4 linked regions of the Rhinolophus ferrumequinum genome follow. The protein of the gene in region 1 purifies or fractionates together with the protein of each later gene. This does not show direct contact. Links are inferred from orthologs where the notes say so. Each region holds a gene or a part of one and is shown on either strand. Other genes may lie near its edges. The genes, in order: DCAF7, CSNK2A2, CCT6A and FAM53C.

Evidence for each region.
Region 2: the proteins of DCAF7 (region 1) and CSNK2A2 purify together in Homo sapiens (affinity purification with mass spectrometry; 8 studies listed by BioGRID and IntAct, counting the BioPlex papers as one, with this or other methods). This does not show direct contact. The link is inferred for Rhinolophus ferrumequinum from reciprocal best matches to the Homo sapiens genes DCAF7 and CSNK2A2.
Region 3: the proteins of DCAF7 (region 1) and CCT6A purify together in Homo sapiens (affinity purification with mass spectrometry; 3 studies listed by BioGRID and IntAct, counting the BioPlex papers as one, with this or other methods). This does not show direct contact. The link is inferred for Rhinolophus ferrumequinum from reciprocal best matches to the Homo sapiens genes DCAF7 and CCT6A.
Region 4: the proteins of DCAF7 (region 1) and FAM53C purify together in Homo sapiens (affinity purification with mass spectrometry; 3 studies listed by BioGRID and IntAct, counting the BioPlex papers as one, with this or other methods). This does not show direct contact. The link is inferred for Rhinolophus ferrumequinum from reciprocal best matches to the Homo sapiens genes DCAF7 and FAM53C.

The regions. Positions count from the first base shown.
Region 1 is NC_046304.1:42,212,732-42,220,518, forward strand, and holds the start of DCAF7 (DDB1- and CUL4-associated factor 7), read left to right. Parts: upstream 1-4,742; 5' UTR 4,743-4,960; coding exon 4,961-5,098; intron 5,099-7,787. UniProt on the Homo sapiens protein: Involved in craniofacial development. Acts upstream of the EDN1 pathway and is required for formation of the upper jaw equivalent, the palatoquadrate. The activity required for EDN1 pathway function differs between the first and second arches.
Region 2 is NC_046298.1:10,605,842-10,612,940, reverse strand, and holds the start of CSNK2A2 (casein kinase II subunit alpha'), read left to right. Parts: upstream 1-4,090; 5' UTR 4,091-4,460; coding exon 4,461-4,564; intron 4,565-5,327; coding exon 5,328-5,439; intron 5,440-7,099.
Region 3 is NC_046290.1:99,864,965-99,872,546, reverse strand, and holds the start of CCT6A (T-complex protein 1 subunit zeta), read left to right. Parts: upstream 1-4,565; 5' UTR 4,566-4,705; coding exon 4,706-4,842; intron 4,843-5,277; coding exon 5,278-5,341; intron 5,342-6,748; coding exon 6,749-6,883; intron 6,884-7,466; exon of another isoform or gene 7,467-7,582. UniProt on the Homo sapiens protein: Component of the chaperonin-containing T-complex (TRiC), a molecular chaperone complex that assists the folding of actin, tubulin and other proteins upon ATP hydrolysis.
Region 4 is NC_046307.1:13,421,315-13,429,262, forward strand, and holds the start of FAM53C (protein FAM53C), read left to right. Parts: upstream 1-4,933; 5' UTR 4,934-5,171; exon of another isoform or gene 5,172-5,189; intron 5,190-7,948. Other genes in the region: oocyte-specific histone RNA stem-loop-binding protein 2-like, read left to right, coding at 1,657-1,697, 1,802-1,906, 2,582-2,734, 2,877-2,997, 3,743-3,874.

The sequences.
Region 1 (7,787 bases):
GCACCCAGGTAAGGAGATCCACTTCACCTGCTATGTGTTCCCAAAGCAGGAGGGGCATGGGATCAGGGCTGTGGAACCAGCTAGAACAAGCTCAGGCTTTCCTTTCCCTCTTGCAGGTGCAGCCCCTTCCCTGAGCCTCTCAGAGGCATCTGGGCTCTGGCCTGAGTTGCTGCAGCAAGTGCCCCCAAGACCAAGGCACAGCCCCACAGACCCTCAGGGAGACCCAGACTGCTGGCCTCAGGAGCTAGGCTCCAGGCTAGAGCAGCTCCAGGCCCAGGTGAACAGGTGAGTGCCCTGCAGGACAGAGTTCTGGGCTGCAGAGAGCAGGCCCAACGGCAGGCTAGGCACAGGTGCCCCCTCCTGGTGACTTGGGGACATTACTGGATGTCCTATGAATTTCAGAATGGCTGACAGCATTTAATAGCAGGCTTCCCCATCCCTATGTCACTGAGCACAATTCCTTGGATGGCTTGTCCCAGCAAACCCCAGAACATGCCAAGGAAACTTTCTTAGGGCAGGGGCATAACCTCGTGCAGAAACAAATTCCATGGGCCCTTGGAACGGGGATGTGGCCTGTGGATGGCAGGGCTGTGGTGGCAGAGTGAGAGGTTAGGGGCAGAAGAGTCCTGAGTTCAAATTCTGGCTCTGCAACTTACAAGCAAGAGTGTGGGCAAATCACTTAATCACTCTGAGCCTCTGTTTGCCCTTTTGTGAAATGGGGATAATCAGAATACCCATGTCAAAGGTTCTTTATGAGGCCTAAATGATGTGTGCATGGTGCTTGGTCACCTTTATTGACAGAGGGGAATTTGGTGCTAAGGGGAATTTGGGGAGGGGCTGCGGATGGTAGCAGGGAAATAGCTTCAGGTAGGCCCCAGGCTTCCATTCCATCCAGCAGGAACAGCATGTAGGCTACAAAATGGAGAGCTGTCTTCCGGACCTAGACTGCTCTTACCAACCCTGACCCTGACCTTAACTAACCCTGATCTGCCCCTGACTGTGGGGTTCTGTCGGGTAGGCTGGAGTCCCGCATGTCCTCAGAACTCAGCCGCATCCTGCAGCTCCTTCAGCAGCCCCTGCCCCAGGGCTGCACTGGCTACATTCTGGGAGCCCCTGCCTCCAATGACCTGGCATTGTTTCCTGCGGCCTCAGAGACTCAGAGTCCAGGAACTAGGCTGCCCCAGGGCGATCTGCCCCCTGCACAGGTGAGCAGGTGAGGGGATCCCCAGGGGCTTGCCTAGAGGCAGCTGCATGCCTTCCCCCACCCCCAACTTGGTCTCAGTGTGGCATCAGGCCCAGGGCCTTGTGGCCTGAGAGCAGCCATGGCTTCTGCTGTCCTTTATGGTCCAAGTCATGACAGGGCAGCCTGGACAATTAGTGGCAAAGCCCAGTTTATGACTGAGACCCCATAGCTGGGGCAACGGTAAGAACACATAGTTCCTACCAATTCCCAGCCCTGAAGTCAGGGTGGCCTGGGGTGGGGGCTCCCCACACTGCATCCCTCACTCTTTCTTGCCCCTCAGACCACAAGCTATGGTGACTTGGACAAACATGGGCCGAAGCGCAGGAACTCCTCCCCCAGGATGCCTCACCTGGTCATGGCACCAGACAAAACTCTGACACTTTCCTCGGAACTGGAGCAGCCTGAGGGGCTCCTGTCACCCCTGGCCTCACCTCTGCGTGCCCTGGAGGTACAGGGACTCATCTGTGGTCCCCGCTTCCCCTCCCTCCCTGATCACCTCGGCTCTGTCCCCAGGCAGCTGGAATTCCAGAGACATGGCTCAGATCCTGGATTTGTGGGGAGTTAGAGCCACTGAACCCCAAGATAAAACACACCATGAGGGGATTAAAGGTGGGAGAGGTAAGAGTTACATATTTGGGGGAGGTAGACAGCCGCCAAAATCGTCCTCTGAAAACCATTCTCCTAGAGTAGCTACAAACGTCTAACCCAGGTGATCCAAGATGGCAGGGTAAGAAGGCTTAGGATTTTCCCAGACTCTTCCAGGGCTTTGTGTAGATAGCAGGCCTGGTGGAGGGTGGGTGAGCCTCGGGCATGGAGGAAGCTTACTGGACAGAGGGTTCAGTGAGGAAAGGAGAAGTTTCTGATCTTCTGTGTGAGAACTTTGCTCTAGGCTGGGTGCAATCATGTCCTGGATCAGAACTACCCACCGCCTCTTGGCTCAGCATCCAAGGTTGATCAGACTTCCTGCTGAGAGCCTGTGACCTGGCTGGAAATGAAAGTGTCCTCTGTAGTGGACATATCGGGGCACATAGCTCCAGCCCTCAGCTGCTTTGCCTCTGACGGTTCTGTGATGACCTTTGGGACTCTAGCAGACAGTGGAGTGTATCACAGCTAATAAAGTCTGCACATTTCACGTTGGGCTGGGTGTGTAACTTACCTGCGGGTTATCACGTCCTTGACTATGCCATGACCCCAACATCTTGTTGTCTTCTCCAAGCCCTTCTCACCGGAGGTGTGTGTTAGGCACCTAAAGGTGGCTCTGCTGGACCCAGGAGCACCTGGATCACGGGGCTTTTAGCCAAGCTGGAGTGAAGGGAAGCAGAGAGGTACTGGCTTGGTTAGCATAGGGAATCATGACAATAGCCACCACTTTCATAACACCCTGTGCCAGGCACTGTGCTACCTGCTCTGCAGATATTAGTTCATCTAATCCTCACAACAATCCTATGGGGTCAATGTTATTCTCCCCATTATAGAGAAGTGGGATCAGAAGCAGAGAGAGACTAAGAAACTTACACAAGCATAAAGGGGACCTCTGGGGGGGAGCTGATACTGTTCGGTTTCCTGATCTAGATGCTGGTTACATAAGTGCGTTTCAGGTTGTGAAAATATGTACACTTATACTTCAATTTAAAAAACAGAATTTTGCCCAACAACACAGGAGAAGGAGGATGTAACTTCAACCCAAATGGTCTGGCATGAGAATACATGCAGTTAACTACTCCACTGAAATAGGCTGTTGCAAAAAGTACCCAGTCACTGGTATTCAGTTCCTTTTGCTCCAATATTTCCTGAATAATTTTGAAAATGTATTTGCCCCCGCACATATTTTTAAATTGACATCTGAAGTATTTCAGTAATAAGTTTAAATAGCTGTAAAGGATGTAATTTCCAGTGTGTTGTAAATATTGATACTTTATAAACTGTTTCATTTATATTGATTCATTTTGATCCAAATAGCATAGTGATTTGAGAACCAACATCATTAATTTTAAAAACACTACAACAAACTCTTCTTTAACATCATTCTTTTTACTCTTTTCAAAATTCCATTCTATTCCTTCCAATTTATGCTACACCTAATTTATTTTCATGCTTTAAAGTCTATTATTGATAATCTTATCATATCTCTTTGCAACACGAACACATAAATTGAAAATATATAAAATGAAAAATTTAATTTTTTGTAATCTTACAAAGGCTTTCAGGGTTATACTTATTAGTTCAGAGTTTTTCAAAACAACACAAATATATCAAATTTTTATAAAAACTAAAATTTTATTGGAAATGCATCTCTTAAAAGAAGGTATTTTACTCTCAATTAGTTCATATGTGTGGATGAATATAATTTTTTATTAGAATAAGACAAGCTTCAGCAATACTTTTGTACCTACTTTTCTATCCTTTTTAAAAAACTTAAACACAGAGTAAACTTGTTCACATAAGTAGATGGGACTGTAAGGAGTTTGTTTGCATAGCAGTGCCACTCAATTCTTTGAATACTGAGTTATCTAACAACTACATTTATCATTAAAAACTGTAGTTGATGATATCATCTAATGTCAATACAATCCTCCTTTAATTCTGTTTAAAGCAAAGAATTGGAAGCCATTTAAATTGTAAAGATTCAGACATTCTCCATTCAAACTCACAACACAGATAAATTTAGCGCTTGATTAGCATTTGCCTTGGGATCCGAAGCGGGGAAAGGATGGAATGGGAACAGAAAGAAAACAAAACAAAAAGAACTTATTACCAAGCTGGTCGGTCGCTGCCTACTGAAGGGCCAACCCTAGAATTCCCAGCATTTCTAGAATGGACAGGAAAGCGCGGGAAGGCCTGACTGAAGCTGGCCTGGTCCTGATTACATGGGCGGGTTAGTGTGCAAAAGGCTTGTCCTCGGCCTGCCCTTGGGGTACTGGAGAACAAGTCTCTCGGCTTAAAGGGAGCGTTGGTAAGAGTGAGGAGGAAAGGTGGTTCCCATTTGGCTGGTGGGCCAGAGTGCCAGGCCGAGGGGCTTAGTGCCGCGAAATGCAACAGGCCCTTGAATAAGGCAGAATTTTAATTTTTACTCGACAGCATGTAGAAGCCGCTCGGAACAACAGCTGCAGAGTGGAAGTCAAAGGAGGTTACACAAGAGGTTTACCACTGTCAGAGATTTGGCCTAGAACTTGGGAGGCCTACTACTCCGCCTCTATGCCACCCACGCCCCCATTCACCCGCACTGCGCCGTTATCTCTTTGACTGACATTTTTGTCAGCCAATGACCTTTGGGGCTGAGAAAGCGCCTGCCCCTTGGAATTGGGCGGTGCAAGTAATTGGAATGACAAACATTTACACCAATAGCGAGGAGGTTTCAAAAGCTACCGGGTACAATAGCCAATGAGAGTAAGGAACCGTTCTAAAGGACGTATCAAGCAGCCAACAGCCGGCGCCGCTGCGGGGGACGCGTGACTTCCGTCCCGAGAGGGCGGGGCAGCATCTCAAACGGAAGGTGGTTATCGCCCGAGCCTTAGCAGTTTTGAAACTGGGGGTCGGGCTCGGCTGTCGTTGTCTGTCGCTGCGGCCCTGCTTCCGGGCTAGGCAGTCCCTGCCCGCCCCCGCCCCGCCTCCCTTCGGACCCCTGGGTCCCAGGCCCGACTCCCCCACCCGACTCACGCACCGCTTGCCGCAGCCCGCTGCCGACCCGGCCCGCACTGCGGCCCGGCCGCCGCTACCATGTCCCTTCACGGCAAACGGAAGGAGATTTACAAGTATGAAGCGCCCTGGACCGTCTACGCCATGAACTGGAGCGTGCGGCCCGACAAGCGCTTTCGTCTGGCCCTGGGCAGCTTCGTGGAGGAGTACAACAACAAGGTTGGTCGGGCAGGGCCTCGAAACTCAGCAGGTAGGGGGCGGGGCGAGCGGTCCCCTGGAGCGCCCTTTCCGGGCCGGACCCCCGACCTCAGGACCCTTCTGCGGACTTGCCTTTAGCACCATGGAGTTGTTCCTCTAAGTCTCGTCCTGAGCAGAGGGTTTCATATTCGTTTCATTTAATCGTAGCAGCATTCCTGTATAGTCGGAGTGTAGTTAACCCGTACTCCCATTTTACCGATAAGGAAACAGAGGTAAAATGTTGTGACTTGCCCGAGTCAGACATCTGTTTCGTGGCGGAAACAGATCTCAAACCTGAATTTACACCCAAAAACTACGCCATTTATCACTTGTATCTCCCTCTCTCCTGCCGCATTGCTTCACGTGGGGGGCGGAGGAGGGAGGGATTACTGAAGGAAAATGCTGGCGTCTCAGTTGGTGGCCATTCACTCCTGGCTACACTCGATTTCTCTTGGCTGTCTATTGCGCAGACTTCCCCTCGCTCTTCTCCCACCCCCAGGTACTATTCTTGAGGATACCCAGCCCCTCTGCTAGGATTGCCATTGCTGCCTTATTACCCTCCTCTTCAGTGCGATCTTTTTAAAAAATCTTGGCCAATGGCCTTGCTTTCACCACTGTTTACTGAATTAAGAAGGATGACACTTGCCACATCTTTTCTTGGCTTTTTCATGCTAATGTGGATGTGTAATCCTGAGTAGTAAGTATCTGTCAATTTGAGTAAGCCTTCATAGAAGCATCAGTAGCAAGGCGAAGCTTGCACGCTGGCAGTACAGCATAAACTTGTTTTTGAAAGTTGTTGAATAAGTCAGCGGGAAGAATTTTCTGGGCTTTACCTCTTAATCTCTTCCTTTTGTTGTATTAGAGTAAACGTTGTGATTGTTAGGGATCACAGCAATTGAAAGCCTTGGCTAGTGTGTTTAAAGCCAGTACTCCTGCTTGACTATGTGAACACGATGACTTAAGAATAAAACTGTGGACAGTGACAGGACAGAGAGCTAGCAGTTCTGACCCCTAGTTTGTTTTAGGAAAGGGGTTCTGTAAAAAACATTTGAATAATGTAACTTTGTTTACAGTTCTTCAGGAATACAGCTGTTTCTCTAGTGTTAGGTCTTTGAAATCCCTTTGCCCCTTTGAGAAACCGATGAAAGCAAAGGACTCTCATTGCCCCCGACACTACACATACACAGTTTACAAACAAATACCAGGGAGTGCATCCACTGAGGCCTACCTGATCTTGAAGTCCACCCATTACCCACAGAAAGCAGAGAGTCCTGGCAAGACAATTTTATTTTCTTTTTTCTGATGCCTTTCTTCCTGATGGCCATAGTGGACAGCAGAGCTGGGAATGGAATTCATGATTGTGATGTGGAAATCGCATTAGTATAATTAAGAGCACTAGAACTATTGTTTGAGGCAGGGGTGTCAAAACTGCGGCCCTCGGGCCAACTGCGGTCTGCAATCCATTGTTAATTGGCCCGCAGCAAAATCCAAAAATATATTTAGTTTACTTAAATAAAGCAGGTGAGGCAATACGTACTTCACCTCGAGTGAGAGGCCTGGCTGTTTGTGTATTTTACCGTATATGGCCCTTGGTGAAAAACGTTGAAAAAAGTTTGGACACCCCTGGTTTAAGGATACATGTTAAAAAAAAAAAAAATGTAAACTATGTATTTTAAAGAGCTTGAGTCTTTTCACCCAAATAGATGTTCTTTTTCCTTGCACATTTTTCCAGGATTAGTTTGGGTAAGCAATAGTAATTACATTTCTAAGAGAGGACAGACTGACCCACAATTAGGCTGCTGGTGAAATTAGTGGAGTAAATAGTGTCAAATCTCAGTTGCAGGAACTTTACCCCAAAGTTTGTACTTCCATTTAGCAACCATATGAGAGCTCCTTTGTGCCAGGCTTACATGCAATGTGGCCTTAGTAATATAATGCAAACTCATGATTCCAGTGGTAACAGCTAAGCAGTTAACTGTGTTTTAACTTGTGTGACATAGGTGATCAGCATCTTAAAACTACTTTTGTGCCCCCACGTATGTAGGTCAGGGTTTGTAACGTGTGTTCATCATGCCCTGGACACCTTTAGCAATCTGAAGCCAGTAGACATTTACTCTTAATTATGTTTTCAAATGCATCAAATACATAGGATTATGAAGGAAACCAATTGTGTTGAACTATAGTTATTAAAAACATTTTTTTAAAAGTGATGATAGAATAATATGTAACTCGTTACACCATCTGGTGTAATTATTACTGTATTTTTGAAGTAGTGATAAAGGTAAACAGCATTTCAAGATGTTTAACAACTGTAATGTGATATGAAAAAAATCAGTGATTTGTATTTGTGACAAAGTCACAGGTATTCATGCTGCTGTGAGGAGCCATCTCCATTTGTAATTGAAAGAAATGCTAAATTTCAGCTAGTGGTTAGTGAAAATATGAATGTAATTTTCTAATTCAAGTTCATAGACCCCAAGTTAAGAAATCCTGCTGTAAAGGATCTGTGCCGAGGGGCTGGTGGGCAGCAGTAATTCTCAGGGTCAATTTTGGGGAAACCTTGACATGGAGGTGCCAGATTCCATAATTTGCAAGAATTTAAAAATTATTGGTTGGAATTTTCAGACCTTTGGTTCCTGCTTGCCCTCGATAGTGATTGCCAGCAGAGGAC
Region 2 (7,099 bases), on another chromosome or scaffold:
AAAACCCACTTATTAAAAAACCTTATATAATAAGCTTTTTCTCATCACCAAAAATTCCTGATAATCATAATTTTTAATGATGCCTAATAGTTCGCTATAGGTACATAACACAATTTATCTAACTGGTCCCAATAAGGGATATTTAAGTTGTTTTACATTTTTATGATTAAAGATGATGATTTTTATGATGAATGTCTTTGGGTCTTTGGGGGTGTGTATTGAGTCAGAAAGGGATTCAGGAAATGGACTGAGTGGTCAGAAAGACCTGAGTTCAAATCCAGCTCCACCTCAATTATCCGTGGCATTAGAGTCTCAATGTCCTCAACTGCAGAACGGGGATCCTTGCAATAGCTCCAATCTCATGGAATTTGTTGTTGTTGTTGTTGGAAACGAACAGCCTTTTTATTTTTTTATTTTTTCATAGAATTTTTAAAACAGCTCCCTTGAGATACAATTCACATACCATATAATTCACTCATTTAAAGTGTAAATTCAATGGGTTTCAGCCTCAGGGTGTTTGCAGGTTTCAATGATACTGAACACACAAATTGTCACCTCTGTTAATAATTCTTTGGTCATAATCAACGTTATTTTCTTAGTCTAGGTTCTTAGAACCAGCAATACAGGATAAAAGCCCAGAAACCTCTCAAACAGTTTTGAAAGTGGGCCTTATGAAGATAGAAAGTATTCTTCTGAGAATTTAAAAGTTTTGTTTTGTTTTGTTTTGGGGGGGTGTTTGGATAGACTTTGGGGGCATAAAATTGTTGGGCTATTTGACTCACGATGCCCTCTTTTATCCCCCTTATGTAACCCTAAATTATAATCACCCTACACACAGAATACACCCAGAATAATTAGGGGAAGTCGATTCGGGTTCACTGAACCTCCCTGCCCTGTCACCCACTCCTGCAGAGCCGTCGGCCTATTCCTCTCCATAGGCCACTGAGACTTCCTCCTTCAGTGAGGGTGGCATTGGTGCCATCTCCAATTGCCCATCTTAATTCACGCCAAGTACACTCATGGAGGGCTGGAAGGAAGACTAGGAAGTGGGTCTCCTCCAATTTCATGGGGTGCCCAACCAACCTACCTACCAACAAACCATAAAAACACACTCCATTTGGCCGTGGGAGGACTGCCAGTGGATTTCAGGGCTGAATTAACGAAGTGTCAGCTAAATCCAGGAGCCTGTTGTACCAGAGTGACGTGTGGGTGAATCCTTAGGCATCACGGCAGGTGTGGGAGCAGGTTGCGTGAGATGGGTGTGGGTTAGGTGGTGAGGATGAAAGGAAGGTGCAGGGAGGGTAGATGGAGGCAGAGGTGGGCGAGGGTGATGGTGAGGAATGGGGCCCTGGCTGGGGTTGGACCTAGTAGTTAGACCAGTGGTTTGGAACCATTTTTGGGTCATGGCCTCCTTTGAGAATTTGATGGATCCTAAGTAAAGAATGCACCCACCCACCCACCCACACACACACACACACATCCACAAATTTTGCACAGTGTTGGGGGTTCCTGGAACCCAGAAAGCTCATCCAAGAGCTCAGTATTAAGAACCTCTGGGCTAGACTAGTTCACAGGGACTTGTCAGAAAGAAATCCTAAGGCTCGTTAAAACCTTGAGACTGTGTGTGCGAGAGATTTGAGAGGTTTGCAGGTTTGGGAATTAAATTCCAAAGTCCACTTATTCTACAAATGCTTTGTTTTCTTCCATTTTTTATTTTGAAAAATCTTCAAATCTGCCAAAAAGTTGCAAACTCATGTAGTCTGTAACTACGTTTTCCACTTGTCAACATTTATCCCTAAATGCATCCCTCTCCCCACGTATGCCTGTGCTGTCAGGCAGGAACACATGTTTTTCTGTAGAACCAATAGAGTAAGCTGCAAGATACTATGATACTTCTTCCCTAAACGTTTGGCATGTAACTCTTAAGATCAAGAGATTATCCTGCATAACCACAAGAGAACCCTCACACAACATTTAACATGGACAACTATCATGTAATAGGCGTATTCTATTCAAATTCCCCCAGTAATACCAATAGTGTCTTTTTAGCTGTATTCTTTCTACTTCCCCTTTTTCCTCCTTCTTGCCCTCCCTTCCTGCCTTTCTCATCCAGGATTAAATCCAGAATTATACACTTCTTTTAGTCATATCTGTCAGGCTCCTTCAATCAAAGACACTACTTCAGAGATTTGTTTTCTCTTGTGACATTGATATTTTTTTTAATAGTCCAGGCTAGATGGTTTGTAGAATGTCCCCCAGTTTGGATTTGTCTGATTGGGTCCTTGTGATGAGATTCAAGTTAGGCATTTTCGTCAGATGTCATGTCCCTTCTCGATATATCACATCAGAAGGCCAGAGGTCCCTTACTGATGGTAAGTTTGATTTATGGTTAAAGTGGGGACCTCCAGGTTCCCTTTTGGAATTGATAAGTGGGTAACACTGTAAGACTGTTTTGAAAGTCTCCAACTGTGGCAAATTCTGGGGGAGCCAGAGGTGAGCATCCAGATCCAGTCCTTGCTCTCATGCTGTTTTTACTGCGGAGGAGACAGACAATAATCTAGGAAACAAGTAAATAATTACAAAATATGCTCTTGTCTTCAGGATATGGATAGGGTGCTGAGATAGAGAAGTATCAACTCTAACATTTAAAGTGAACTTAAAGGTGAGACTTGAAAAGGAATAAGGAGTCAGGCATGGGAAGGTAGGAGTGGAGGTGGTGGAAGTGGTCAAGCTTGGAGTTGGAAGGAACCAAAAGATGGGCTTCTGGTGGTCTCAGGGAGGGAAAAGCGATAAAAGAAAGGCTCTGGTCTTGTAATAATAATATTGTGCATTTGGTATCTGCTAGACCCTGTTCTAAGTGTTTTGTACGGTTTACCTTGTCTAATTCTCCCCATAACCTTGGGAAGTAGGTGCCATTCCTGTTTTTATGCCATAAAATCCACAGCACAGAGAGGTTAAGTCATTGACCCAAGGTCACACAGCCTGTAAGTGGTAGAGCTGAAATTCAAACCTGGATGGATCTGACTCCACGATCTCTACTCTAAACTATGTCAAGAAGGAGGAAGCAGGAAAAGCAAGAAAACAGAATGTGGAAAATAACTGGAGTCAGAGCAACCCAGGCTGAGTATGGAAGTTCTGTTGATAAAGGATTTAGAATGGGAACACAAGACCACAGAAAGCCCCATAAGATCAAAGAGAGAAGAATTTTAACGGCTAGGAGACAACATAATAATATAGGCCAAAGTTGGGTTGCCCATCCTGCTCTCAGTCCATGCACAACCTCCAGCTTGTCCCTTCATGGGACTCTCACAATTCTTCCCCTGCTCTTCATCCTCCCCCACAAAAATCAGGGTATTTACATGGTCTCCAGTGTCTCCCCATAAATCGCTTTTTAATTACAAAGGGAAAAATAGGAACTTGACAAGAAGCAACCTGGCTGACTCCAGCTTGACCAAGTGATGGAACTGAACATTCAGAGGGGTCTTAGACAAGGCTCTGGAAGAAAAATCTGGGGTAAAGTGTAAGAGAAGGATTTTTTGAGGAAGGCTCTGGATGAAGAGAGGAGTCGTGTTGGAGGAAACGATGGGTGACTGGGCAGGATCCAACCGGGAAGAGGGGGTGTCTCTGGGAGGGATGGAGAAATCTTGAGGTGGGGAGGTTCTGAGTGATAAGAGCGAGTCATCATCGGAGAGGGACTTGATGGGAACAGTTTGGGTGACAGGAGGTCAGCACAGGGTCCGTTCAGTAGGGAGGTCGGGGTGAGTAAGCTCTGGACGACTACAGGGTGGAGGGCTTAGGACAGGCGTCTCCAGGACAGTCCTGAAAGGGTATACGAGGGGTGAGGCTCTTAGGCAGCAATCTGTGGGTGGGGGAGGCCCTGTGAGCTCGTCCCGCCAGACTGAGGGTGGAGAGCTTTAAAAGTGGGGGTCTGGGCGGCGGGAGCCGGGGGCGGGGCCGAGGGCGGGACCAGCACCGCACGGCGGGTCCCCCCGCGCTGCAGGGGGCGCTGTGAGCCTGGGCGGCCCCGGGCCGGGCGGTGGCCGCTCCTAGTGAGCGCGGCCCTTTTCCGGGTTCCCTCCTCCTCCTCCTCCTTCTTCTCCTCCTCCTGGTCGCTGCCGTCGCTGCTGCCCCTTTCCCGGCCGGCGGCTGCCGCTGCTGGTGCTGCCGCCGCCGCCGCCGCCGCCTTGGGGCCGCGAGCCCAGCGGAGGCCGCCGCGGAGCGTGAGCGCCGCCCGCCCCACCGCCCCGCCGGCCGCTCCAGGGCCGGGCCGGCTCGGCCGGCGCCCCCCGCGCCCCCAGCCCGCCCGCCCCCGCGGGCTCGGCCTGGCGTGGCCGCCCGCCGCCGCGCTCCTCCTCCTCCTCCGGCGCCCCGCGGCCCGCCGCCTGCTCCGGCCGCCGCCCCGCGCCCCTCGCCGCGCGGCCGCCCTCGGCGCCCCGCGGCGCTCCCCGGTCCCGCCCGCCATGCCCGGCCCGGCCGCGGGCAGCAGGGCCCGGGTCTACGCCGAGGTGAACAGCCTGAGGAGCCGCGAGTACTGGGACTATGAGGCTCACATCCCGAGCTGGGGGTAAAGCAGCCGCCGTCCCCCGCCGGGTCCTCTCCCCCCCACCCCGCCCGGCCGCTCCCCGGCGCAAACCGCACTCGCCCCCGGGCGGTCTGGCTGCCCGCGGGCCCCTCTGCTGGTCCGGCGTGTCCTCGGATCTGGGGTGGGAGGCAGAGCCTTGCCCTTGTCTCCCTCTCCCTGCCGTGCCCCCCCCCCCGGACCCCAAGGAATGCTTTCTCTCTGGGGAGAAGTGTTGGGTCCAGGGCCTGGTGGAAGGGAGGGAGCAGCCCTTCTCACACGTTTGGCTTTTTATTGGGGTGGGAAATCAGCAGCTGTCCTCTTGAGCTATTCGAATTTTCTGCTTTTTTAGTTTTTTTTGAAATGAGGCTGGGTGGGAGGAAATTTTTAAAAGACGTCCAGATACTCAAAGCTGGCGCTGTCTTAAGGGTGTGAAATAGAAGGCAGGTGTCGCGGCGCGCCGGGCAGAGGGCTGCCCTCGGAGCCTCCGGGGTAGATGCTTTGCTCCCCCGTCTAGATTGGCACCGAGCAGTGCCTTCCTCCTTCATCTCCACAAGTTACCAGGGACCAATTAGGTGAGGAGCTCTGAGCAGAGTGAAAGGAGCCAAGTTTATGTTGTGGCGTTCTTTTAGGGAAATGAGTTGTGGCGTGATGGATACACATGTCCAAGTGCTTGGTTTATAGAAGTAGCTGGATGGGGATGTAGAGTGAGCATAGGCTTGGTTAATCCCAACTCCTGGCATTGATGTTTCTCTCTTGCCTTTTACAGTAATCAAGAAGATTACCAACTGGTTCGAAAACTTGGTCGGGGGAAGTATAGTGAAGTGTTTGAGGCCATTAACATCACCAACAATGAGAGAGTGGTGGTAAAAATTCTCAAGGTGAGTGTCTTACGAGTGGCATTACATTTTTTACCCCCTCCACAGGTCAGAAGGATACAAATTACCCCAGCCACATTCTAGAATGAGCAATTCAAGCTCCCATTTTACGTATCTTCTGTCTGATGTACCCCCACTACTCCTCCCACCCTATTTTCCTGTGAACTTTCAAGAAAATACGCGGACCTGTTTCAAATTGAGGCAGGATCGCTCGGCAGCATCCTTGTTGGAAATGTATTAGGTTGGTGCAAAAGTAATTGCGATTTAAAAGGTTACAAATACTTGCAAAAACCGCAATTTTGCACTAATCTAATAATTACAGCTCCCAAAGTGAATATTCTGAGGGGGCTCCACTTGTTACAAAGTAAGTAGGTGTTCAGAAGAAAGAATAGCCTTTCCATGAAGATCCATCATTCCAAGGGCTCCTTGAGCACTATTTGGTTACTCTTGGTGCCCTTAGTTATCCCAGAAGGAATGTTGGAAAAAATGGGAGCTGCTCCAAAGATGAGTTTGCAGCCTGAGTAGAGGGAAACATCTCAGTGGATAATCACTTGTTTCTTCTTCTTTGGCAACAGAAGTTTCAGGTGGGTAGGTGTAGTGAGCCACTAGTGCCAGAAGGTTCATTGTTGATTATCAGCCAGTAGAAGTGAAATTGGGAGCAGTAGATGAGTGCACTTTTCACTGCTGAAATAATAATTGGAATAAAACAGTCTTAGTGTTTGGTCGAGTAGCATGTTGGACCTTTTGTCGTCTCTTAGATGAAGATACGATCTCTTTTTTCTTTTTTTGAAGACATGATCTTAATGAGCGTGAAGAGTTGGCTAAATTTTCCTCAGGTAACTGATTGTGTAGCTTTAACCATATTTTATAGGTTGTCCTAAAAAGTAATTATTAGAATCTGTGAAGTGTCCTCAGCATTGCCAGATCATTTAATATGTGTGCATGTAATTTATGAAATATTGAGAAGACCAAAGAGTAATCTAAGCACTTCTACAGGTACAAGATTTCCAATGTGGCCATTTTACAGAATTTTCTGTGAATAAGAATTTGGGGTTGAAACACTTTGTGTCTGAAGGATGGAGTTAGGGTAGCTGTGTCCCTGTTTAATATGAGAGGTCAAGCTTATACTGTCTGAAAAATCACCTTTTAGAAAACTGATCAACTCTTAGTACCATCCAAGCCTAGTGATGAAGAAGCAGAGTTGCAATAGAGAGAAATAAGTTCTTCGTACTGTCAGAAACACGGGGGGTAAGAAGTGAGAAACTGATGTTGAAGATGTGGTGTTTGACTCCCCTCTTCCCTAAATATGAATGGTACTTACAAAGTCACATGGTCTTTACAAATGTAAATATTTAAAGAAATGTTCCTTTCAGAGAGGCCACCTGGGGAAATCATACAATTTTTTTCCTTTGTACATTAGTGTAAATGTTTTTAGTATAAGCTGCTTAAAATCTTTCTAGGAAGTAAGCAAGGCATAAATGAAATTAGAAATATCTGTATTCTGTTGCTGTGCATTCAGAAGAATGAACTGCTTACTCTAAAGCAAATCCGGAAAATTGTCTAAAGTTTTTAGAATACATGCAATTTCCTGTGGTCTTTTTTGAAAGGAACAGTGTCCAGGTGTACACGTAAGTAACAGTACATTCATTTAGGAAAGTGTCAC
Region 3 (7,582 bases), on another chromosome or scaffold:
TAGATTGCTTTACTAGCAACAAGAGGACTAACGGCAGAGCAAAAACTTAGGGCACTATGGTAGTTATCCCAATAAGAAATGATCATGGCCTAAACCTGAGTGGTGGACATGGGGATGGAGAAAAGTACATAGAGTGGAGAAGGGTGACATCTAGAAAGTAGGTGTGAAAATATTCAGGGAGCATGTGAATATGGGAGCCTGAGGCAAAGGAAGCAGTCAAGGGTGAAACCTAGGTTTCTGGCTCTCCCCTAATACAACAGTGTGACCTTGAGTTTATCATTTACACTCTTTCTGTGTTGATGTAATCATGTGTGAAACTGGTTTAATATAGGGCTTCAAAGGATGCATATTAGGATCAAATGCAACAACTGATGGGAAGGTGCTATGAACATTATGTAGTTAATTGCGTAATATGAACGGCAGTGGCAAATAACACCTTCCATGTCTGGCACAATACAAAGCATGTTATACATGCAATCTCAGTTTTCTCTATGATGTCATTTACCCCTACTTTATAGATTAGAAAATTGAGTCCAAAAAGTTAAGTAACTTTTCCAAGGCCACATACTGGTAAACATTGCAAACTAGAATTCAAACTCAAATTATTTCACTCTGGGATACTTTCCAATACACCACCCTGCCTCATTAGGGTTCTTTCCTTAAAATGTTCTTTATTGAAATCCCTCCTGATTCAAATAGCTGAACACCTGCCGCCACCTCTATTTCTTCAATCATGGCATACTATGGGTCTGCTCCCACAATGTGACTTTTTGTTTAAAATTCTCCAAACAACATTCTAAAGTTCTCCCATCCTATACATACATTAGCATACAGGCAACACTCCCCTGCTACTTTATTTTGCATCATATACTGGAAAGAATTAATTTGCTTGAAAGTGTGATAACTAAGACTAGAAGAATGATATATGCAAATAGCTTGCCTCTAGAGGAATAATGAGGGTCCTTGTTTTGCTGACTTTGTCTAATTCCTGGTATGATGTTAGTGGAGATGCCTAATCTAATATTCTGGTATTTGTTCATTATGGATTTTTTGCATAAATTTTGCAAAAATAACTGCATTAAAGCATTCATCTTGATTACTGAGTTTTGGGTGCCTCTTAAATTTTGCACCTCAGGAGAGTGGAAGTCTTTACACTACCCCTTTCCCTACCTGCAAGTAGATGACTGAAGTTCCACAATCTTCATCTCTGTTCATGTCTCCCACACATCTCTAACAGTAGCTAAATAAATCTGCATGCACAGCAAGTAACATCATGGGGCTCCTTCTACTGTGTTGTGTTATACTATCACTCAAACTTATGTAGATACTTTTGGGATTTTCAAATATACAAGCCTACATAAAAGCATTATATACCAGGATATTCACTGTAGCCTGAATAGAAGATCTGGAACAACCTCAACGTCCATTAGTAGGTGACTGGGTAACTATGTCATTCTTACAAAGAATATCATGCAGCTGTTCATGAGGAATCCCGCTGTTTTCACCTGCTCCCCCTCCCCCCAGCAGTGCTGGGCTGCATCGTGCTCACTCCCAGCTCCTGCTAAGCCAGTGCCACTGTTGTGTCTTTCCAGCCACCGTCGTGATGATCTACTGGGACCAAATCAGCCACGATGAGATGTTCTCCAACATCTACAAGATCCAGGAGACTGAGGATGGGCTGTGCCTGGAGGTGGAGGGGAAGATGGTCAGTAGAACAGAGGGTGATACTGATGACTCCCTCATTGGTGGAAATACCTCGGCTGAAGGCCTGGAGGGCGAAGGTCCTGAAAGCACAGTAGTCGCTTGTGTTGACATTGTCATGAACCATCATTAGCAGGAAGACAGCTTCACAAAAGAAGCCTACAAGAAGTACAAAATGATGAAATCCCTCAGAGGGAAACTTGAAGAACAGAGACCAGAAAGAGTAAAACCTTTTATGACAGGGGCTGCAGAACAAATCAAGTACATCCTTGCTAATTTCAAAAAACTACCAGTTCTTTATTGTTGAAAACCTGAATCCAGATGGCACGGTTGCTCTGTTGGACGACTGTGAGGATGGTGTGACCCCATAGGTGATTTTCTTTAAGGATGGTTTAGAAATGGAAAAATGTTAACAGAGTTGGCCATTGGGATCCATCACCTGTCATCATAACTAGCTGCTGCTTTTCATCCACTCCCCGGTCTAGAACAAATAGGACTGATGTTATCTTGAGCTGTTCCATTTATTTTCACCTTGATTTATTTGGAGTGGAGGCATTGTTTTTAAGACAATCATATCATGTAGATTGTCTAAAAATAAAATGCATTTAAACTCTTTTGAGAGAATGTCTCTTAGTTTAATACACATTTAAAACCATTCCTGTGTAGTGTTCCTGGAGAAGCTAGAGCCTGTTAGACCATTACTATAAAGTGTAAGACTGTCTTCAGATAACTTCTACAATGAAAACTACTGGGACTGGAATATAAAAAACAAGGATCAAAAGTCTAAATTCAGAGTTGAGTGAAGGGAAAGACCATGCTCACAGTAAACATTTCAAGTGGATTCCTTAGACATTTCATCACCTGCAAACGGAAGTAGTTAACTCTGGAAGAGATTACCAAAAGAATAAAAAGATATTAATACAATTGGGGACAAAAATGAGGAATCCACTTGCATTGATATTTTACAATCTCCAAGGTACTTTAACACACCCAACACTGTGTATTATAAATTGCCATTTTGTGAGGGGAAAATGCTTATATTTATGTATGTACAGAGGGTGCCAAAAAAAGTATACACATTTTAAGAAAGGAAAACTGTATTAAAATCATAATACTTAGTATATACCAATAACAAAAGATGAATACAAGTCACATTTGACCTCTGCAATTACAGGAGGGGCCCAAAGCAGTTACCATCAGTGTCCAAACACTTCTGATTAGGGCTAACTACTGCTTGAGTAATGTTGACCAAAGTGTCCACTTGTATACATTTTTTTGGCACCCCAGTATTTATTTCTAAATTCAGAAAGCATCTGGGAGAATTCAGAGCATCTAAAGGTTTAACTATGCTTGTTTGGAGGAAGTTATACCAGCAGGAAGAAGTCTTACTTTTATCATATACCCTTTGGTACCTTTTGAATTCTGAACAATTTTCATTATCTATAAAAATAAAAAACAAAACATTACTGAATACCTCGTACTTGGAGGGGTGGGGGAACTGGATGCTAGAAAACAATTGTAGATATTTTTTTCAGAATTTTTCTGTCTTCAGTGTCCTCTCAAAGGCTGGACAACACTGCTCAATCAAGTTTGAGTTTTCAAACTTGCCTTGAGGGTCTAAGGCCTCAGCAGTGAGTTTTGAGCCCAGAGGGTGAACTGACTTGCTTCTCCTCAAAGTCCACACCAATCCCACAGATTTCTAAAGGCATCTAGCACTTTCTCCCTTGCATTCTCCCTTGCATTGTATCTCTTCGTCTTCCCTAGACCTAAAACACCTAGGATACTAGGCAAGAATAAGAAACATCTAAACCTGTAGAGAATTATGAGTTTATTTATTTTTATGAGTTTATTTATGCTGGGAAGCAAAATCTCAATGGAGTGAGAAAATGCTCCGGAGAATGGCAGTTTCACAGCTTATTTTATACATTAGAATCAAAGGAGGCATAAGGAGGGTTACATGAAATCCATTGGTGGTCCATTAAGGAGGTGGAAGAAAGCATAGCAGAGAAATCTCTGGGATTCCATAAAAGGCAAAAGGAAGAAACACGCTTCTTACACTGGTGGGTACAGGATAGTAACATTTACAGCACACAGAGATGGTACCTGGGAAACAACATAATGAGGGGCTCTGTGGTCTTGTGCTCTGGTGCCAGCAGTTGTGCCTTTGGAAAAGAAAATTACTCGGACACTTCAAAGATACATTATCCTAGACGCCTACGCTATGGCTCGAGTTCCCTTAAGGTAAAGGCTAACCTTTGCTACGGAAGATGTAGGCCGACCTGCTATTACCTGCCCAGTTAGGAATTTGTGATCAGACAATCTTGGGTGGTTACTTTTCATCACTGAGTTTGTCAGGACTGCACGTGGCCCCGCTGAGCCTGTCAAGTTTATTACATAACCCTTTTCCATTCACAATCCTAGTCAGATTCACTACAGTAGCCCCACATGACCTAGAACACTAACAAGCACATAGGATGCAGTCAAGAAAACTGGTGACAGGGACAAAAGAAGGGCAGGAAACAAAGCAAACTCCGGAGGGAGGGAGGCCACTGTACAACCTGCGGTCAGAGACCTCCAGGAAGGAGCGCCAGCTCTCTAGTCACCCAAGAGGCGGACGGGCGCGCGGCCCACAGCCCCAACCTCCCGCTGAGCGGGACTCGGTCGGCCCCCGCTATGTCCTCAGGGCTCGGTTAGCAAAGCCAGCGAGGACACCGGAAGCTCGGGAGCCCTTACCGCTCGAGAACACGCTCCCCGCCTCCCTGCGCAATGGCGCCGAAGCCCGGGAGTGAGGGGCGGGGCCGCAGGCGGCCGGCCATGCGACCAAGACCCAATGAGCGGCGCCGGCCGACCGGCGGCCCAATGAGGGCGGCGCGTGGGCACGCTGGGGGCGGGCAGGGCGCGCCCGACTTTTCCAGAAGACCCGGATAGCGCCGCTGGGCCACGCTGAGCCGGCTGTGGGCGATCTTCACGCCTGCTGTTTTCTTTTTCTGCTGCTGGGTCAGTTATGGCGGCTGTGAAGACCCTAAATCCCAAGGCCGAGGTGGCCCGAGCCCAGGCTGCGTTGGCGGTCAACATCAGCGCGGCCCGGGGGCTGCAGGACGTGCTGCGGACCAACTTGGGGCCTAAGGGCACCATGAAGATGTAAGGCGGGGCTGGTGGGGGAGGGCCGGGCGGGCACCGCGCACCTCGTGTGGCCGCGATGCCGGCAGTCGTGGTCTCCAGCCCGCTGCTTCCGGGCCTGTGCGCCCGTTGCTTCTCCCCTTTTACCCCCGTTCCCATGTCAGGCCTGTTTCCTGCCCCGGCTGTTTTCTCTTGTAGTCGATGCATCCTTCGCAGAGAACAAAGCTGCCCTCGTGCGCGGATCTCTGGGACTAAAGCGACCCTGAGGACGCGCGGCACACTGTTTCTCAGAAGGGAGGGGGTGGGCACTGCGCCATTCCTGTTAACCGGGAGTGGACGACCAACTTAATGGCCGCGTGCGGCTTCTTAGGATCTGGGTAAAGCGTGGTGTCGATGGGAGTCAGTTTGGTCTCCGTTGAAAAAGTCACATTGATTTCGTTTCTGCTCATTGAACAGGCTTGTTTCTGGTGCTGGAGATATCAAGCTTACTAAGGATGGCAACGTGCTGCTTCATGAAATGGTGAGAGGCTGCTATACGTTTAAAAGGTCTTGGTTTGCATTGGAGGTTTAATTTGTAGGGAGATGTTTAATGTTTATTCTCAAGGTAGGAGGAAATCATATTCATCACCTCTCAACAGGCCAGTCTTACAGACAATGGAGAGAGTAGGAAAGTAGTCTAATCAGTAATGGTAGCCACAGTATGTTACAGTGAGGAGCCCTGGAGTCTGATACTTATTTATGAATAAGACAAAGGTCTTGTCATTTAAGGCCTTTAAAGGATTGAAATTATTAAGATTCTAATCTGAAAACCAAGCAGTTGACACATTCACATAGGCAGAATGAGACAGGTTGTTTGTACTTTGTCTCTTTAAAACAGCAATTTCTCTGTTACCTGTCATCTCTTCCATCTTCAACTGGAGGGGAGATAAAACGCCTTGCTTAACCATTTTAAAAGTCCTGTGACCAAGAATCTGAGATTATTGAGAGGATCAAAAATTTTACACATCCATAAGTTCCCAAAACTTAGCAGTTCAAATCCAAGAAAAGGAAATGACTTGCCTGTGTTTTGAGTTAAGAATAAAATGTAGGGCTTTGATAGTAGGGTACCATGCCTTCAGCATCCAAATGTAATCAGTGGCCTGTGCTGGCTGAGAACACTTGGAGTCATAGTTGAAACTTAATATCAGAAAAGACGTAGCTACATGGTTTTTTTTTTTATTTTACTTGATTTTTTAAATTGTGAAATACAGCATAAACATAGAGAAGCACATTAAACATTTATAGCTTAACAAGAAACTGTAAAGGAAACAGAAGTATACAGTGTCACCTCTGTGTTGGTCTTGCCAAAAATAGCAAATGTAGATAATGAGATAGTCTACAAGGTAATTGGGCTGGATTCTTAAAACTGTCAATGTCCCCAACGATCTGAAGATTAAAGGGTAAAAAGCAAAAGCAGTGCAGGAGCCTTGTTTGAATCCTTTCTCATTAAGAATCTGTGCGTGATATTGGAGACTTGAAGAATACCCTGTTCTTCCAAAGCCTTCCCATGCAGTGATTTAGCATCCACTGATGACCTTTGCTAGGAGGGCTATTTCTTTTTAATTGTTTGATGCCGAATAATATTGGAGGCTGCTAAACTTTTATTTTAGAAGTTACCTGATTTATTCCCACCAAAAGCCCTTAATTGAGCGTCAAATTTCCTTATCAATAAAGTGGAGATAATCTTGAGAAATATATACATGACAATATTTTGGTCGTCAGAAACAATGCAAAATAGCTAATGGTGACTTCTTAATCAAAATAATATGTAGCTGAACACTTGGGTAATTTGTGCAAATACATAGCATTTAAGGATGCCGTTCACATTTTAAGGTATATTTGTATTGTTTCAAGTTACTTAATTTTTTTTTCCTTTTTCTACTTTCAGCAAATTCAACACCCAACAGCCTCCTTAATAGCCAAAGTAGCAACAGCCCAGGATGACATAACTGGTGATGGTACCACTTCCAATGTCCTAATCATTGGAGAACTGCTGAAACAGGCGGATCTGTACATTTCTGAAGTATTACATGATTCTTACGTGTTTCTGTGATACTTTATTGTGTATAGAAAATAATCTGAGTTTTATTTATACAAATTGATGTGTTAGTAGTAGCTGAGGCTATATATAGTAGAATGTGAAGAGCATAGCGGCTTAAATCTGGGAACCAGAGTCTTTATCTTGGTCTCACACAAATTAATTGTGATCCTAGACAAGTTAAAGATCCTTCCTGGGCCCTGAAGGTTTCTTATTTTATCAAGTTGCATTGCATGTATGACATATGTCTGTCTATAATGTAGACTAATAATTGAAATCAGGACTAGGCATATTTATAAGGAAAAAGCCAACCAAAAACGGACTTAAGAATTCTACAACTTTTTTTAGCCCTGAGTAGGTCCAAAGTTAAAGCAAACCTTAATAAATACTAATCTGATGTCAAGAAAAACTTCTTAGGAAGGCAGGAGGCAGACTCTTAGTCTCCCTGTCTACTTTTTCTTGGTAAATGATAATGAATTAATTTCAGATTACCTATAGAAAAGATATAATGGTCCTATTGACTGCAGGTTGTTGTGACACTTGAGTTTTTGTCATTATTCCTTGTAGTTTGCACAGTGAACACCCAAGTGTGCTTTATAGTTCCCTTGGCTTTGACTCTGTGCTAGAGCAATGTCTGTTCTTCTCCTCTGCATTGAAAGGACTATTTATCCTTTTAAATGTATT
Region 4 (7,948 bases), on another chromosome or scaffold:
AGTCTGAGATTTACCTTCAGGAGGAAGGGAAGTGGATGTAGATGGGGTCAATCACAAGCGAAGACCAGAGCAGAATTAAAGGTAATCTGGGGAAAGGTGGCAATTAACCAGACTACAATTCTGCTTTTTCACTGGGTAGGTCGGAGTCAGACTTTGCCGCTTCTCTCCTCAGAGGGTCGAAGCCTCGGAGCAAGAAAATAAACAGCCACAGGCCTTGACCATTCAAACCTTCCGCCCTCCCAATAACCTATCCCGCTCGCCTCTAAACTGCGTCAGCCAATCTCCGCACGCCCGCCCAGAAACCCCTCGGCCAATCGTTTGGCTGGTATATCAACCGGAGGCGTGAACTTGAGCTGGAAGGAACACAATTTGCCCCGCCTCACAGCCAGAGCAGAATGCCGACTGGCCCACTGGCGTTCGGCAAGGGGTTTAGTAAGCCCCGCCCCACACGGAGCCTGGCGCACCATTGGCTCTGCCTCTGGCCAATCGCCACACCCATCTTGAGCTCTCCCTTTGCTCAGCCCCTTCGTCCCCGGGAGATTTAAATTGCACTTTGCTCCGCGGTCCACTCGTTAGGTTAATACCTGAAGACATTAGTTTCGATACAAGGGTGTTTTATGCGTTTCTTTTTCCTTGGTTCTTTCTTGTGTTGTTACATGGACCTTTCCCTCTTAGTTTGCTAGCCTTCCGCTGGAAGTGGAGCATTTGTCGCCGGTGTGGCAGATGTGGCGAAACAGGTGTGTGTGTATTTATGCTAAACGGCATTGGCCCCTTCCAAGAGGTTTCCCTGTTGGGTGTCCCTTTTAACGCACAGCATCTCTGAGATGCTAGGTTATGTGAGTAAAGGAAATTCCTTTTTACGGAAAGCAGGGGAGTTGAATCATCTGTTGGCACAATCCTCATCAAAGTCCAAAGGATCCCAAACTTTGGTTGTTTATGGAAATTTGAACATTGGCTAGGTGATAGTAAGAATTTATTCTTAATTTGGGGGATTTGCTTTTAAGTAATCCTGTGGTAGTGGTGGTGGGTATAGACCAAACAAGACTGGCCATAATAATTGGTTGATGGGTAACCGGGGGTCCATTATGTCAGTTCTCTTAAAGTTTAGGCTGCATACTAATCACCTGGGGGATTTTGTTAAAATACAGATTCTGATTCAGTAGGTCTGGGCTGGGGCCCAAGATTCTTTACATCAAACAAGCTCTCAGCTGATGCTGATGCAGCTGCTACAGGGACCATAGTTTGAGTAGCAAAATATTATGCTATTCTCTTTACTTCTCTGTATGTTTGAAATTTTCTATAATTAAAAAAAAAATGTTTAAAATAATCTTGGGAGCTCTTTAAAATACAGGCCTCCAAAATGAAGATTCAATAGGTCTAGAGTGTGGCTGAGGAATTATCAAGGTCCCCAGGTGCTACCCCTGCAGATGGCTTGCAGACCACACTTTGAGAAACATATCAGAAATGCAACCTTTACCTTTTAGAAACAGTAAGTCAGAAATACAACCTTTATCTGGTGTCAGGATCTTGGTGGTGGTAGTAGTGGCTGAGAGGTGCAGTGTAGCAAGCTGGATTTTGCCCTAACACAGATTCATCTGTAGAATCTGCTTCCCCAGGAAGGAGGTGTGTGAAGATTCTTTGTCCTCTAGGATAGAGATGGTAAGTGTGGGAGTCAGCACAGAGCCCTGCCATACCAGGTGAGTGAAAATCAGGCTGGGGATTAAGGGAGGGTGGGATGAGTTGGTTTCTGCTTTGATAATTATAATCACACTTCATGGAGCCACTATATACTTCTCTGCAGGTGGGAGGTAGAGACAGATGAAATTGTCCTACAGCGGAGGCAAAAGCAGATAGATTATGGCAAGCGCACACCTGGTTACCAGTGCTTTCTGCAGCAGGTCCCCAAGTGAGTGCCCATCTTAAGCACTCCCCCAAGTTGTGCATAGTCACAATAAGAGAGTCAATCAAGTGGCTTTGGTTCAATGTCAGGTGATGGAAAGATACTAGAATCTGAGTGCTCTCACAAAATTGCAGCATTACTAAAACGAATTATCCTGCAATCTAGCCCCCAAATTAAGTTTCCAAGATTTTTTCCAAATGGAACAAGTCATACTTGGCACATAAGACTTTTTTTAAAAGTCTATCTTTTAAAAAAAACTATCCATGTTTTTGGATAATGAAGTTTTTTTCTTTCCAATCATTTTTACCTCATGCCTCCAACTGACGTGGCTAATTGCAACATACTTGCCCAATTACATGTAAATTTGCATGCATACATACAAACTAAATGTATGAAAAGGTAGAAAGTATTTGAACAGGATATCAAATACTGTCTTTTATATCTATCTTGACTTCTGAGGAAATTGGAATATATAATTTACCATTTCCAGAAGAAAGAATATTAGGGAATTAGGAAGGTGATGTTTAATCTGATTGAAGGTTTATTTTTTTCTGTTGGATCAAGAGAATTGATCATACCTTATTCTCAGAGACTCCCTAACGAGTCTCCTGTTTTACTGTGATAAGCAGTGAGCCGTGCCCCCTCACCTTGACCTCATTCTGACACATTTGTCATTGCCAGGACACAGCGACAGCCAGGACTTCACCCTCAAACACCAAACAAAAATAGGAGGTACAGTCGCCGCTCCTGGGATGCCCAGATCAGGCAGTGGAGAAGAGCCCTACATTCCTGGGATCCCCCCAGCCAACCTCTGCAGGGCACGGGGGCTAAAGGGTGTGTGCATTATTCTTGGTTCCTTTCTTGAGTGGTGGACTGAGTCCTACATCTCCCCCACTTTGCAAAGATTTAGCTTTCATTGGCTGTAAAGGAGAGTCTGAATGAAGTGCATGTTTCTCTGACTCTGCTGCCTTCCCAGGCAGGGAATGAAGAGTCTCTTAGAGCCAGTGGATTCCTCCCTTTTGAATAACCTCCTGGATGACTGGTTCCAACCCCTGGAATCTTCACAATATGGATGGAGACCAGAGGGAGCCCAGGTAGTATCCTCTGCTGAAATCCACTGGAGCAGGGTCAGAGATGGGGTCTGGTCCAGGAGGTCACAATTAAGATGGGCTTCAAGGTAGTAGTCCAAAAACAAAACAAAGAAAATGGGGCAGCAGGAAAAAATAGCATGACATGAATTTAAAAACTTGAGAAAAGTGACATAAGGAGATTTAATTATAGTTAGTAATGGGGAGTTGGGCTGCACTGGGGGCTATTTTATACTTGATGAAAGGTGTATAATTTTCCTTTGAAGTGAGGCCTGAAACTTAACTTGCGGGGCTTGTTATTTTTTAACTGCCTCAATTTCTGTCAATGTTTTGCAAATGAGCCAATGCTAACTTCTTATACTCAATCATTTTAGTAAGCATGGTTAATAATAAAAAGGGGGATCACCTAGTGGCGAAGACCAAGGGCTTTAGAGCTTCAGACTCTTTTTTTTTTTTTTTTTAAATACTACCTTTGTCCACCACATGGGCAGTCACTTATCATCTGTCAAATAAGGAGATTTTGACTCATTTGATGATTGTAAGCAAAAATGAGAATACATATTTAAAGTGTCTGGCACATAATAAGTGTTTTACAATAGCAATTATTGGAAACCATGTCTCCTGTAACTTCATGGCCCCTACCCCTGCTCCTTCTTTTCCCAAGGGCAAATGTGCAGGGCAAGGAAATGTGAAGTACATCTTCCCTTCACCCCCCCATTTTCTTAAGTACCTCACTTTCCCTCTTCTTTTCCAGTTTGCAGACTTGGTGGCTCCTGCCTTCTCCCTTCCCTGGCTCTGTGAAGAAGATCCCCACCACTGGTTCTACTTTCTGGCTGATCACAGTTACTTATCTGTCCCAGACTTGAGTGAGGCACAGAATATTTAAGGAAAACAGATGTCTTTCCGGGGCCTTGTTGCTAAGTGTAATAGTGAGGATTTACTTGCATTACTGTTACTTTCCAATTGATTAAAAGAGAAATCTAAAATCCTGCCCTACAAAAGAGATCACAACAGGGAGGCATTGTTTAAAACCTCTCCTTTTTCCATCTTTTTGTCTGTCTCTCTAAATCTTCTTTGATAGCTGAGACTCAAATTTACATAAGGACCAGAAACCATCTAGCTGTTCCCCAACCTCTTCACCTACTACGGACTACATTCAGTCTCTTCAGAAAGGACTTAAACTTTGGCTGAGGTGGGAGGTGGTGGCAATGGTGGAGAGGTAATAAAAAGGTGGTTTCCTCTTCCTGAAGAGGAAATATAGCAACATCAACATCTTTTCCCCATCTGCCTGTTTTCCTCCCTCCTTCCCTCTCTTAAGGAAAGTGGTCCAGCTGTAACCACCGTACTCCCCCCACCCCCCACGCGAGCTACTGAACCGCCTATGATGTCATAATCACAATCCCATTACCTCATCCTATTGGGGGGGTGGTGCGTAGAGGGAGGAGAAGGAGTGAACAGCCCTGGGCCCTCCTCAGCTTTACTAAGTGTTTGGGGTAAGGGCTAATTACAGAACCAAATGGAAATGGCCCCGCAACTGTTACAAGTCCTGGATTTATGAGGTTCGAGCCGATCCGGCCACTGGAAGAGGGGCTCCTGGGACACAGAGCAGGCCCTAATCGGCGCTTGGACTACACTTCCCAGAATCCTTCACGTCACGGACGGGTCCTCTGCTGGGGGAAGGGGGATTCCTTCAGTGAGGTGGCCCTAGAAAGCGGGACCGGAGAGCAGGTGAGAGGAACCTTGGCTAATTGTAGTACGCGGCCCGAACCGATTAGGGGGCTGTACTTGGGCCCATGTAGGAATGGAGGGTGGGGGCTATGGCTTTGTTTACCTTCGTCTGATACGGCCTCCCCCGCGGGTTTCGAGGTATGCTTCCAACTGGGCCGGTCCACCTTCTGCAATATTCTGGAGGGGGTGACTCGATAATGAGGAAACCGTCCTCATCCCTAAATCAAGAAGCCGGGCTCGTTCCTGACAGCGTTATCCAAGAAAGACTTTGACAGAGAAACAACACGGGTCTCGAGCCTCCCGGGGTGGTTCAGGAGAACTCTGTGAACCGGAGCGATTCCCCCACTCTCCTCAGAGGCCTGTTGGTTTGCGCCGGCGCCTTTTAAGGGCACCGTGGGGCTAACGGAGCGCTCAGAGCTGCTCCGGCCGCGGCCCTGGGAGCTGAAGGAGCCGCGGTAGGTGGCGGAGGGCAGGTAGCGCTGGGGCCTCGGGGCGGGCACCTCGGCCGTCCGTCCCTCCTTCCCCTCCCCCAGCCCGGCCGCCTGCGCCGCACGGCCTCGCTAACCGCCTCCGCGGGGAGAGCACGGGACCCGGTGGGGGAGGGGGTGGCGGAGTGCTAAGTCCCAGACCTTCTCCATCCCCCGAGTCCTGAGTTCGCTTCTCGCGGCCAGATGATGGAAGCTGATTGGGAAGAGGCGAGCAACACCCCCTTGAGCGAACCCTAGCGCGCCCCCCCCTCCCGGGGCCAGCGGACGCCCCATGCCCCACCCCGCGGGGACTGGCAGGGCAACCGAGGGAGAGGTTTAAGATTGGAGGGGGGGCCTAGCATTTTGCTTCTTCATCAGGGTGGGGGGAGGGGTGCTCCCCACTTGTTACCCCATCTCCACCAGAGCCATATGGGAGAAAAGCAGTCAAGTCCCCACTTACCTGTTCATGCACCTCCCTGCTTCCCTCATGTTTTCTTCCAGTCTCTCCCAGAGGTGTGGGGCTGGGACCTGGGGAAGGGTCCCCAGGGGATTTGTGACTCTCCTCCCTCTTGGCCTGACTTGATCCTACCTTCTCCAGGTTTCAGCACAACCTCAGCATCCCTGAAACCCGAATGTCAAGGGTTACTGCCATCCAATAGAAGATGGGATGGGGGTCCAACCTTTATTTTAGGAGGCCGATGGTGGAGGGAAAGCCTGGATTGAGAGTTGGGCCTGGTGGGGTTGTGGGGAGGGCCTTGCGGCCTGCTGCTCTGTAGAGGGCTGAGCCCCGTGCCAGTTGTTAAGCTGAGAAGTTTTAACTTGTTTAGTGAACGTTCAGGGCTGTCTCTACCCCTCAGATATACAAAATGGAAGGGGAAGGAAGGCGGCAAGAGAGGGCTTCTTACACATTTTTCTATGCCTGCCTGAGAAAGAGGAGGCCCCTGGCGGAGCTGGTTTGCCTTCTTTTGTGTCCTGGTTTGATTCCTTATGGCTTCCGTTCTGTTCCCCCTCTCAGCCTGGCCTGTTTTAGGAAACTCAGGCTGAGAGTATCAGTTGCGTGGTGGTAGTTGCATTGTTCCAATTACCGCCGTGTGTGTGTGTGGCCACATCCCAACAATTAAAATGCAGAAAAACACGAAATCACTCTCTTCTCTTGATCCCAGAGAGGGCTGGGAGTTTGCTGTTTGGCCAAATGCCTCATGAAAAGCTCCAAAGACTTTTGCTTCACTCTCTGCTCCTCATGGCTGGTCAGTCAGAGGTCTGGGCTTTCTGGGGTAAAAGCCTGCAGTTAGGTTTCCTCTCTGGTTGATCTTTGAGGGCAGAGTTAAGAAACCAAGAGCAGAAGTGATATAAGCTTTAGCTTCTTCCACAAGAACACAGGGGAAGCAGCTGAAGGGAGCTCTCAGGAAGCTGGAACTTTGTTCAGGGTTGTAATAATTATGCATGAAAATGATAGTTGACTATCATGACGATTGACTTCTCTCACATCTTTCTTCCCCCAAACTCCAAGTACATCCGTGTGTATTTCTTTGATTCCTTGTGGCCTGCTTCCCTCTGAAGTGGGATTGGGGTAGAGATGAGTCCTTCTCTTTTGTAAAAGTAGAAAGTGATCTGCCTCCAAGGTCACAGAAGAGCCCTTTAGGGTTTCTCTTGCTATGCAGGTGACATCCAACCAAATAGATAAACCCGATTGATTGCTTTCTTGTCTTAATGATATCATCACTATGGCCTTCTGAGGCTTTGTAGAGCAACAAATGGGAGGGGTGAGAAACTGCAGCCTATGTGGACTCTTGGTTTGTACAGGCCAGATGGTATGCTTTTTACATTTTGATATTTCGTGTTATATATTGTCCCTGTGACAGATTCAGATTATTCTGCCTGTTTTATATGTGGGTCAATTGGGACCAAGACAGGTTAAATGATTTGCCAAAACTGCCATAGCAAATCGGATCAAGACTTAGATTTCTTGATAGTTCTACTAGCGAATGCTACCTATACCCTCTGGTGAGCTGTCTGCTGCTGGTCATTTCTGGAAATAGGCAGAATAGTATGGAGACGCTAGGTTAACCTCCTCCCCTCCCTGGAACAAGGCCCCTCAGGCAATGGTGTGGGCTTGAAGCCTGTTTGATAGAATTAGTTTGCTTCTACCAAAATTAACCTGAGAAAGAGTCTTGATTAATTGTATTCATGGTTTTAGATCAAGCTAAAAACTTGGTTGAATGAAATCATAGAGTTGTTTTTAACATCTGTAGAGTTGAAATGTAATTGGAATTACCCTGGTACCGTTTCCTTATCTTCTCGTTTTATAAGAGAATATATACAGTGTCTGTTAGACAACTATAATACATCAGCTGGTCAGGCTAAGGAAGAACTTAAAACCTTATTTACTCTGATCGGTCTGAAGCAGAAAGTCATTCCTTGCTGCTCCTCCCTGTTCCCTATTATTATTTCTGTAGTTTAGGAAAAGGGTACCTCTCATTGCTTTTGACTGGAAAATAAAAATATTGGGCTAATCAGGATGGAAGTGACCATTTGGGCATTCCTCTCACTCGAGCTGTTTTCTAAGTGGTGCTGGTATTCTGGGTAGACAGCAGAGCATGAACCAAGTTAGGAGCGGCAAATAGGTTTCAACTTGCCACCTCCAGTTCATTTTTCTGCATATCTGGAGTGCCAAGTTTAGAATGTGTCTACGGCTGTGTTTAGGCTTAACAGGAAAGAACTGTGATCAATTAATGATGTCTGCCAGAGGCCTGGCGTAGGGATGC